2 linked regions of the Macaca mulatta genome follow. The protein of the gene in region 2 purifies or fractionates together with the protein of the main gene of each other region. This does not show direct contact. Links are inferred from orthologs where the notes say so. Each region holds a gene or a part of one and is shown on either strand. Other genes may lie near its edges. The genes, in order: PPP2CB and ANKLE2.

Region 1 (4,378 bases), on a different chromosome or scaffold from region 2:
CTCCATCCCACTGGCAACTCCATCAATGGGGGAAGAGAACAAAGATGAATGAATTTCACTAACAAATTCATGTTTTGTGGGTGAGTACAAATATTCAAAGAAAAAAAAAAAGGGCTGGGAGTGATGGCTCACTCCTGCAATCCCTGTACTTTGGAAGGCCAAGGCGGGAGGATCGCTTGAGCCTGGGAGTTCAAGGCCAGTTTGGGCAACATGGTGAGACCCCATACAAAAAAATATTATCCCGGTGTGGTGACACATGCCTGTGGTCCCAGCTACTTGAGAGGCTGAAGTGGGAAGGTCCCTTGGGCCCCAGAGGTCGAGGCTGCAGTGAGCAGTGACTGCCCCATTGCACTCCAGCCTGACTGATACACCAAGACTGCATCTTAAAAAGAAAAAAAAAAAGCTAGTAAGATACAAGAGATAATCTTAAATATACCTGTGAAGTCCTAGGAACTGTTAGTTTGATTTATTTAGGAGCCGAAGTAAAAATAATCTCTCTCGACAAATACAGAAAGCTTCCTCAAGTGATCGTTGACACTCCGGTGTGATTATTTCAAAGTACAGCAGTGGTACGATATTCTTCTCTAGGAGTTCACCTTAAAATTATTAGAAAGTCAATGGGGACTGTGCACGAGGCTCGTGCCTGTAATCCCAGCACTTTGGGAGGCTGAGGGATCACTTGAGGTCAGGAGTTCTAGACCAGCCTGGCCAACAAAGCGAAACCCCATCTCTACTAAAAATACAAAAATTAGCAGTGCATGGCAGCGTGTACCTGTAATCCCAGTTACTCGGGAAGCTGAGGCAGGAGGATCCCTTGAACCCAGGAGGTGGAGGTTGCAGTGAGCAGAGATGGCACTACTGCACTCCAGTCTGGGCTACAGAGTGAGACTCTGTCTCAAAACAAAAATAAAACAAAAAAAAGAGTCAATGGAAAAAACTGATTCAACTAACACTTTGCCCTTAACTTCAAGTCTGTATTCTGATGCTCATAGTCAGGTTAACTGACTCAGCTCATTTCAAACCTGTACATTTCACTTGGCATTAGAGCTTGAGAGAGATGTTTAAAGCATACATTTTAAGCCTCATGAAATTACAGGTTATCACAATAAAAATGAACGTCGACTGAAGTCACAAGTAAGCAGTTTGTTTCAGAAAGAGAAAAGTACCACCTGCTTGGCACTTCTATATACAAAAATAAATCCTCCTGTGTTAACAGTTACTTAATACACAAAGGCCCCAGCCAACATTACACCCGTTAAAAATACTATTTTAACTTAACACCATCTATTAGTGCTCCTTTCCTAAGTAAATTTCATGATTTTAAGAGTGTCCTAAAATTAGACTAACAAAATCTTTTCTTCACCTACTTCTGCGACGTCATGACTTCCAAACATTATGGTTAAGAAAATTGTATACATCTTAAAATAACATCGTTACTTCTTCATGGACTTCAAGTGAGAATTTTTAACATAAAAATACATGAAAATTATTTAGTCCACCTTGTAAAGGATGAATTTGGAAAACTCTAGACTTTAAAGATGGAGAGATCGAAATAATTCCAGGAGTTAAGAAAACAATGGATACAGAATTCAGAAAGTGAAGATCACACACGATGTACAAGAACGAAATTGATCACCTGCATGTTTTATTATTCTTTGGAAAAGAAAAAAACTTTATATATTAAAAACAAAAACTTTCTGCAAAGTGTTATCGTGCATGAAAACACACATCCCATTTATTTCCAGCAAACACTGTTCCCAAACTTAAGACCAGCTCTCGTTTCTGAATCAACGCTTTACTTCCAAGAGCCACTCAACGCAAAGACCAGTCACCATCTGTTTCCACCAAAGTCAACCTCTATTTTAAAAATCACAGTTGGCCATCACGCCTACCTCTCCACAAACAAACGCTTGACACATTCAAGAGTCAGTGATTTTTTTTTTTTTTTTTTTTTTTTTTTGAGACAAGGTCTCGCTCTGTCGCCCAGGCTGGAGTGCAGTGACGCGATCTCGGCTCACTGCAGCCAGCCTCCACCTCCTGGGCTCAAGCGATCCTCCCACCTCAGCCTCCTGAATAGTTGAGATTACAGGCACCCGCCCTCACGCCCTGCTAATTTAAAAAAAAAAAATTTTGTGGAGACGGGGCCTCACTGGTCTCTAACTTCTGCGCTCCAGGCTGGTCTTTAACTCCTGGGCTCAAGCAATCCTCCCGCTTCGGCCTCCCGAGTAGCTGTGACCACAGGCGTGAGCCACCGCGCCCGGCTTGAGTTAGTGATTTCTGAGGTGCCCCGTTCACCTGACAAAAATTCTACATTTATTAACAAGTTCATTAATAGGCACGACATTCTGGTTAATTTTAGGTGCATTTTCAGAAACTGGTCTGAAAATGGTCCTTTTCGGATGTCGCTTTCGTTATTCCACTCGGGAAATGCCAGAGTGGCAGGAACTCCAGTGGAGCGCAGGCGACCCCGACCAACCTCCGGCTTGGCTCCAGGGGCTATGGTTCCCCGCCCGCCCGCCCGCACTCGAGCCTCCCACCACCAGGATCTGGGCCGGGGGCGTGGGGCGTGTACCACGCGGAGGCAGAGGGGCCGGGCGAGGGCAGCCCAACGCCCCGGGGCCGGAACGGCTGGGCCGGCCGCCCGGGTAGACGCCGGAGCCGGACCCACAGCCCCGCGGGCCCCCGGTGGGCCGCGCCGGGCCAGGGGCCAGCGTGCGGACGGGCCGGGGCGGGCAGGAAAGCTGCGGCCCGTCCCAGTTCCGCGCTCCCGCACTCGCCCCCGCGGCGCCCTCACCTTCTCGCACAGCGTCCGCACTTGGTTCTCGTTCAGCTGCTTACACTCGTTCAGCTGCTCGACCCACTGGTCCAGCTCCTTGGTAAACGCCTTGTCGTCCATGGCGGCCCGATCCCGATGCGGATCCCGACCCCCGGCCCGGCCGCTGCCCTCCCCCCTCCCCACCCGCCCCCGGCCCCGGCCCGGGCGCCGCTCCCCTCTCCCTCAGCCGCCGTCGCCAGATCCCACAAGGGGAGGACCGAGCCGGGGAGGGCGGCCGCGGTCCCCGCGCCCCGCCCAAGCCCAGCAGGCGGCTCCGAGCGCGAGGCCTGTAGGAGACCCCCGCCCGCCCTTCCCCGCCCGGCCGCGCGCCGCAGGAGTCGGTGAAGGACGCGGGGAGGTGCTGGGAGGGCGGCGCGGGCCCTCGGACTAGCTCTCGCCGGACGAAGGCCGCCAGCTACCGCTTCAGGCCCGCCTCACGCCTGCCGGCCTCTCCCGGGTATCTTTCCCCTTCTCTCGCTCTTTCTCTTCCCTCCCTCCGGGTTTCCGTCATCGCTCGGGCATTTCCGCCGGGAAAAGGCGAGCAGGCGGCGGCGCCGCCGGGACACGGCGCGCTAGGGGCAGAACGGCGCCCTCGCGTGGCTTGGCGGAGAAACGGTCGGAGGAGGCCAGGATCCCTCCTGTCCCAACCCTGCCCCAGACCAAGCTCTGCTGGTTCTCCCTTTAGATATCCTGATCTCCGGGAACTTTGTCCTCACTTTAGCTTCCTGCAGTGCTTTTTCAGCGCTCGGAACAGGGAATTGGAAAACTTGGGCTTCCCTTAACATTGTCTCCCCAGAGTCTAGCACTCAATAGTAGGCATTCAATAATGGTGGAGTAAATTAATTATTTCCAGGCTTGCCTGTAGCCCTAACATCTTGAATCCTCCCTTTCAACATTAGAAAAGTGAAATGATTGCTCTGTAGGATAATCTGTGGCCCTTCTAGCTCCAGCGCTCTTGGCTGTGTTTTCTGCAATGTGTACTGAGTTGTAATGATTTGTTCATTCAACAAATATTTATTGAGTGAGACACAGCAGGGACCCCTCTTAGGGGCCTTCTAGGCACTCCCACCCCCACCCTCCCCAAGCATGGAAATAAAGGAAAACCTTGAGTTCCCCGAAGGGACATTCCAGGCACCTAACTTCCTCAATAAGTCAATGAGCAACCTGATAAGCAAGAAGGTAATAATAGCTTAAGACAGTAGCCAAGGACGTTAGATTCACAAAATGTTTGCTTCCCTATATAAACTGGAGACAACATATGTCCCTGAGTTGTTTTTCAGAAACCTGGACCTCACCAAATGGAAAATGGTGTCCACTATCATGGAGATCTCAAACTACCTATCTTTGTTCTAAATTTCTTCCTGAGGAGCCTGGAAGAATTCACAAAGCTTTGCCTCCTTAGCCAATTACAAATCAGAAAATCTTTGAATCCACTTATGACCTGTGGGTCCCTACTTCAGATATCCTGGCTTTTTAGATCAAACCCACGTATAGCCTCCATGTATTGATTTATGACTTTGCCTGTAACATCTGCCTCCCTGCCTTTAAAAACCCTTACCTGTG
Region 2 (4,273 bases):
TTACATTAACAATTTTTTTTTTTTTTTTGAGATAGAGTCTTGCTCTGTCACCCAGGCTGGAGTGCAATGGCACGATCTCTGCTCACTGCAACCTCCACCTCCCGGGTTCAAGCAATTCTCCTGCCTCAGCCTTCCGAGTAGCTGCGACTACAGGCACCTGCCACCGCCCAGCTAATTTTTTGTATTTTTAGTAGAGACTGCCTCACCACATTGGCCAGGCTGATCTTGAACTCCTGACCTCGTGTTCCACCTGCCTCGGCCTCCCAAAGTGCTGGGATTACAGGCGTGAGACATGGCACCCAGCCGAGTATGCAACTTTTGAGATTGGCTTTTCCTAGTCAGCATAATGCCCTTGAGATCCACCTACGTGGCAGAGTGGACTGCTGCGGAGTGGCACCCTGGGGTATCAATGTTTAAGTTTAACCATCCACCTCTAGAGGGACATTTGAGTTATTTCAGTTTCTGGCAATTACAAATAAAGTTGCTATGAACATCAAATACGGGTTTTTGTGTGAAAATCGTTTTCATTTCTCTAATAAAAGCTCAGGAATGCAGAGCAGATTTAACTTCCTAAAAACCTTCCAGGCTGATTCCCAGAGTAGCTGCACCACTTACCATCCCCACTCGCAATGCACGAGACCCAGTTTCTCTAAATCTCTGTTGACTTGTGGTAATATCAGTATTTTTTTATTTCAGCCCCTCTCAAAACACCACCCCCAGCCACCTTGTCCACAGCTCTGCTTGGATGATGCTGGTGGTGACGGTAACAGAGCACTCAGAGGTGCTTAACACATACCAAGTGCTGCACTTACCCAACTCCCAAAAAATCTTAACTAGGTACTACTATAATCCCTATTCCTAAATGAGCAGGCTGAAGACAGGTTAAGCCCACAGCAATAAGTGGTAGGGCCGGGCGCGATGGCTCACACCTGTAATCCCAGCTACTCGGGAGGCTGAGGAAGGAGAATGGTGTGAACCCGGGAGACGGAGGTTGCAGTGAGCCCAGATCACGCCACTGTACTCCAGCCTGGGCGACAGAGCGAGACTCCGTCTCAAAAAACAAACAACAACAGCAACAAAAATAGAAAAATTAGCCGGGCTTGTTGGTATTCACGTTTAATCCCAGCTACTCGGGAGGCTGAGGCAGGAAAATCGCTTGAACCAGGGAGGCGGAGCTTCCAGTGAGCCGAGATCCTGCCACTGCACTCCAGCCTGGGCGACAGAGCAAGACTTCATTTCAAAAAAAAAAAAAAAGAAAGTGGGTAGGGCCAGGACACAAACTCACACAATCCGACAGGAATCCCCACTCAATCATTAGAAAGCACCGCTTCTCAGTGACTAACAGTCTGACAATCTAGAGTAAAAACAAACTCAGTTTCTCCCACTAGACTCTCGCAACATGCTTCAGACGCCAGATATGTGGGGGTTTTCTCGCCACGAATCACGCAGGTCATCAGTTCTGCAGTGGACACAGGCTGGGTGTCGTCTGTGCAGTTCCATCCTAACTCAGTCATCTATTCTGACAGCATCTTCCTGGACATACCAGCAGACCCCACAGGTTAAGGGCTCAGCCCCACAAGACTGTCCCCCACTTCCAGTGCCCAGGTTGTTTGACCTGCGCTTCGGACCGACTGGGTGTAACCGGGTAACCTCCTCAGGTTGTGTTAATTTGCTAGAGCGGCTCCCGAACTCAGAGCCATGTTTTACTTACATTTACCAGCATAGGATAAAGATTACAAAGAATACAGGTGAAGAGATGCGTGAGGTAAAACCGGGGGGGAAGGCTTGGAAATTCAAGGCCTCTCTGGGCACCGCCTCCAGGAATCCCCACGTACTATCCGGAAGCTCCCTCAACCCAGCCCTTTTGGGTTTTTACAGAAACTTCATTTCACAGGCATTGGTGATCAGCTCAACCTTCAGCCCTCTCCCCTCCCCGGAGGTTGCGGGTGGGGCTGAAAGTCCCCAGAACCTCTAACTCAGCCTTGGTCTTTCCTGCGACCAGTCCCATCCAGAAGCTCCCTAAGGGCTGCCGGCCACCAGTCCACTCAGCCTACAAAAGACTTCACATTGGAGGTCCCCGGGATTTCAGGAGTTGTATGCCATGAAAAGCGGATGGAGGTGAAACACACAGTTCACAGTATCAGTTACCTCAAACTTAAAATGACCAAAACCCACCTCCGCTCTCCACATCACCCAGACCCGACAGTCTACCCCAAAGCAATAAATGGACACCTTCTCCCGTTTCCTCCCGCCCCAAACCCCTAAGTCACATAGGCCTTTTCCGTCTCTGCCTCCTGTTCAATGACCAGTAACCGCAGGGGTTTCACATTCCAAACACATCCGGGACCCAGGGCTTCCTACCCGCGCCGCCCCCCCTTGGGCCATCCCTCCCCAGGTCTCCATCGACCGCAGCAAGGTTCTCCGCTAACGCCTCGCCGGGCTCCCGCCGCCTTCCCCGGAGGCCGCTCCCGAGCCCAGAAAGCTCTCATCCCCGAACCCGGCGTGGCCCCTGCCGCCCCCGCCCCGGGAAGCCGCGTTCCCCGCAACTGCCCTTTCCGCGGCCGGAATGGCCTTTCTCGAGCGGCCCTGGGAGAAAAGAATGGCCTTCTCCCGGCGGCCTCGCCCAACTGCTGCCGGCACCGGGAGCTCGAGGGGCGCGGCCCGGGACGGGGTCCCGGGGAGGGCGTCGGGGCGGGGAAGGGACCGGGATGCAGGGGCCCAGCGACCGCCTGGGCCTTACCTGGGGCGGGGGCGGCGGCCGCGGGCGGCGGAGGGCCTGGGGTCCCACTGCGGCCCAGACCCCCAGGCCGCGGGCCCAGCCGCCGCACCAGCCACCGCACAGCGATCAGCAGCACCGACGCGCCCAGCAGCTCCCAAGCCAGCGCCGCCCACTCGGCCGCCGCCAGCCGCGGCCACAGCATCGCCGCAGCCCGGGCCGCAGCCGCCTAGGAGCCCGCACCCTGCGCCGCGCCCGCTCCAGGACCCCGCGCCGGGCTGCCCGCGCCCTGCCTGACGGCGCCACGCTAGAGGCGGCCGGGGTGGCGCGGGGGACACGGGCGGCGGCCCCGCTCACGAAGGTCCGGCGAGGGCGCCGCGGTGGCCCCGGCCCTGCACCCCAAGCGGGCGGGGACGGGCGAGCGGACGGGCGGGCGCGGCAGGCGGGGCGCGGGCAGCCCGGCGCGGGGTCCTGGGAACTGCGCGGCGCGGAGAGGGTAATGTGTGGGCGGGGGCCGGGGCGGGGCTTGTTTACTGCCTCCCGGGCCCGGGCCTCCGCGGGGCGCTGCGCCTCTTCGAGAACTAAGCGGGCTCTGCCGGGTTCGTGAGCTCCGGACCCCAGGACCGTTTGCGGCCGCCGCCCCGTCCTGGAGCTGGAGTGAGGAGGCGCTTCTCACTTTCCTGCGAACCCGCAGAACGGGCGGCCGGCGCTGGGGAGGCCCCCGGAGCTTCCCGCTTCTTCACCAAGCGACCCTGACGCGCAGTCGAAAGCTTGGATTTTGCCGGGCGCGGCGGCTGCGTCCGGAGTCCCAGCGCCTTGGGAGGCGAGGCGGGAGGATCCCCTCGGCCCAGGAGTTCGAGACCAGCCTGGGCAAATATTTTGAAAGTCATGGTAAAAGCCTCAGTTACTTTTGCACCAACCTAATTGGGAGACCCTGTCCCGAAAAAGGGAGGAGGATTTTCCTGTATACAATTTAGATTTTTTTTTTTTTTTTTTTTTTTGATGCGGAGTCTTGCTCTGTCGCCCAGGCTAGAGTGTAATGGCACGATCTCTGCTCACTGCAGCCTCCGTCTCCTGTGCTCAAGCGATTCTCCTGCCTTTCCTCCCAAGTAGCTGGGATTACAGGCGCCCGCCACCCCGCCCGGCTAATTTTTGCATGTTTAGTAGAGACGGGGGTTTCATCATGTTGGCCAGGCTGGTCTCGAACTCCTGACGTCAAGTGATTGGCCTCCCAAAGTGCTGGGATTACAGGCGTGAGCCACCGCACCCAGCCTACTTTAGATATTACGAAATGAAAATGAAAGACCTGAAAAATACAATTGATATCCTTGGTTAAAAACATAATTGATCTGAGCGAGGTGGCTCAGGTCTGTAGTTCTAGCAACTCTGGAGGGTGAGGGGCGAGGGTAGTTTCAGTTCGGGAGTTCGAGGCTGCAGTGAGCGTGATCTCGCCTGTGAATAGCCACTGCATGCCAGCCTGACCGACATAGCAAGACCCCATCTCTTAAAAAATATCATTGGATGGTACTAATGGTTGGTTGGGCACTACAGAATAAA

The links.
Region 1: the proteins of ANKLE2 (region 2) and PPP2CB purify together in Homo sapiens (affinity purification with mass spectrometry; 4 studies listed by BioGRID and IntAct, counting the BioPlex papers as one, with this or other methods). This does not show direct contact. The link is inferred for Macaca mulatta from reciprocal best matches to the Homo sapiens genes ANKLE2 and PPP2CB.

What each region holds. Positions count from the first base shown.
Region 1 is NC_133413.1:32,598,332-32,602,709, forward strand, and holds the start of PPP2CB (serine/threonine-protein phosphatase 2A catalytic subunit beta isoform), read right to left. Parts: upstream 2,901-4,378; 5' UTR 2,897-2,900; coding exon 2,795-2,896; intron 1-2,794.
Region 2 is NC_133416.1:140,135,276-140,139,548, forward strand, and holds the start of ANKLE2 (ankyrin repeat and LEM domain-containing protein 2), read right to left. Parts: upstream 2,956-4,273; 5' UTR 2,922-2,955; coding exon 2,741-2,921; intron 1-2,740. UniProt on the Homo sapiens protein: Involved in mitotic nuclear envelope reassembly by promoting dephosphorylation of BAF/BANF1 during mitotic exit.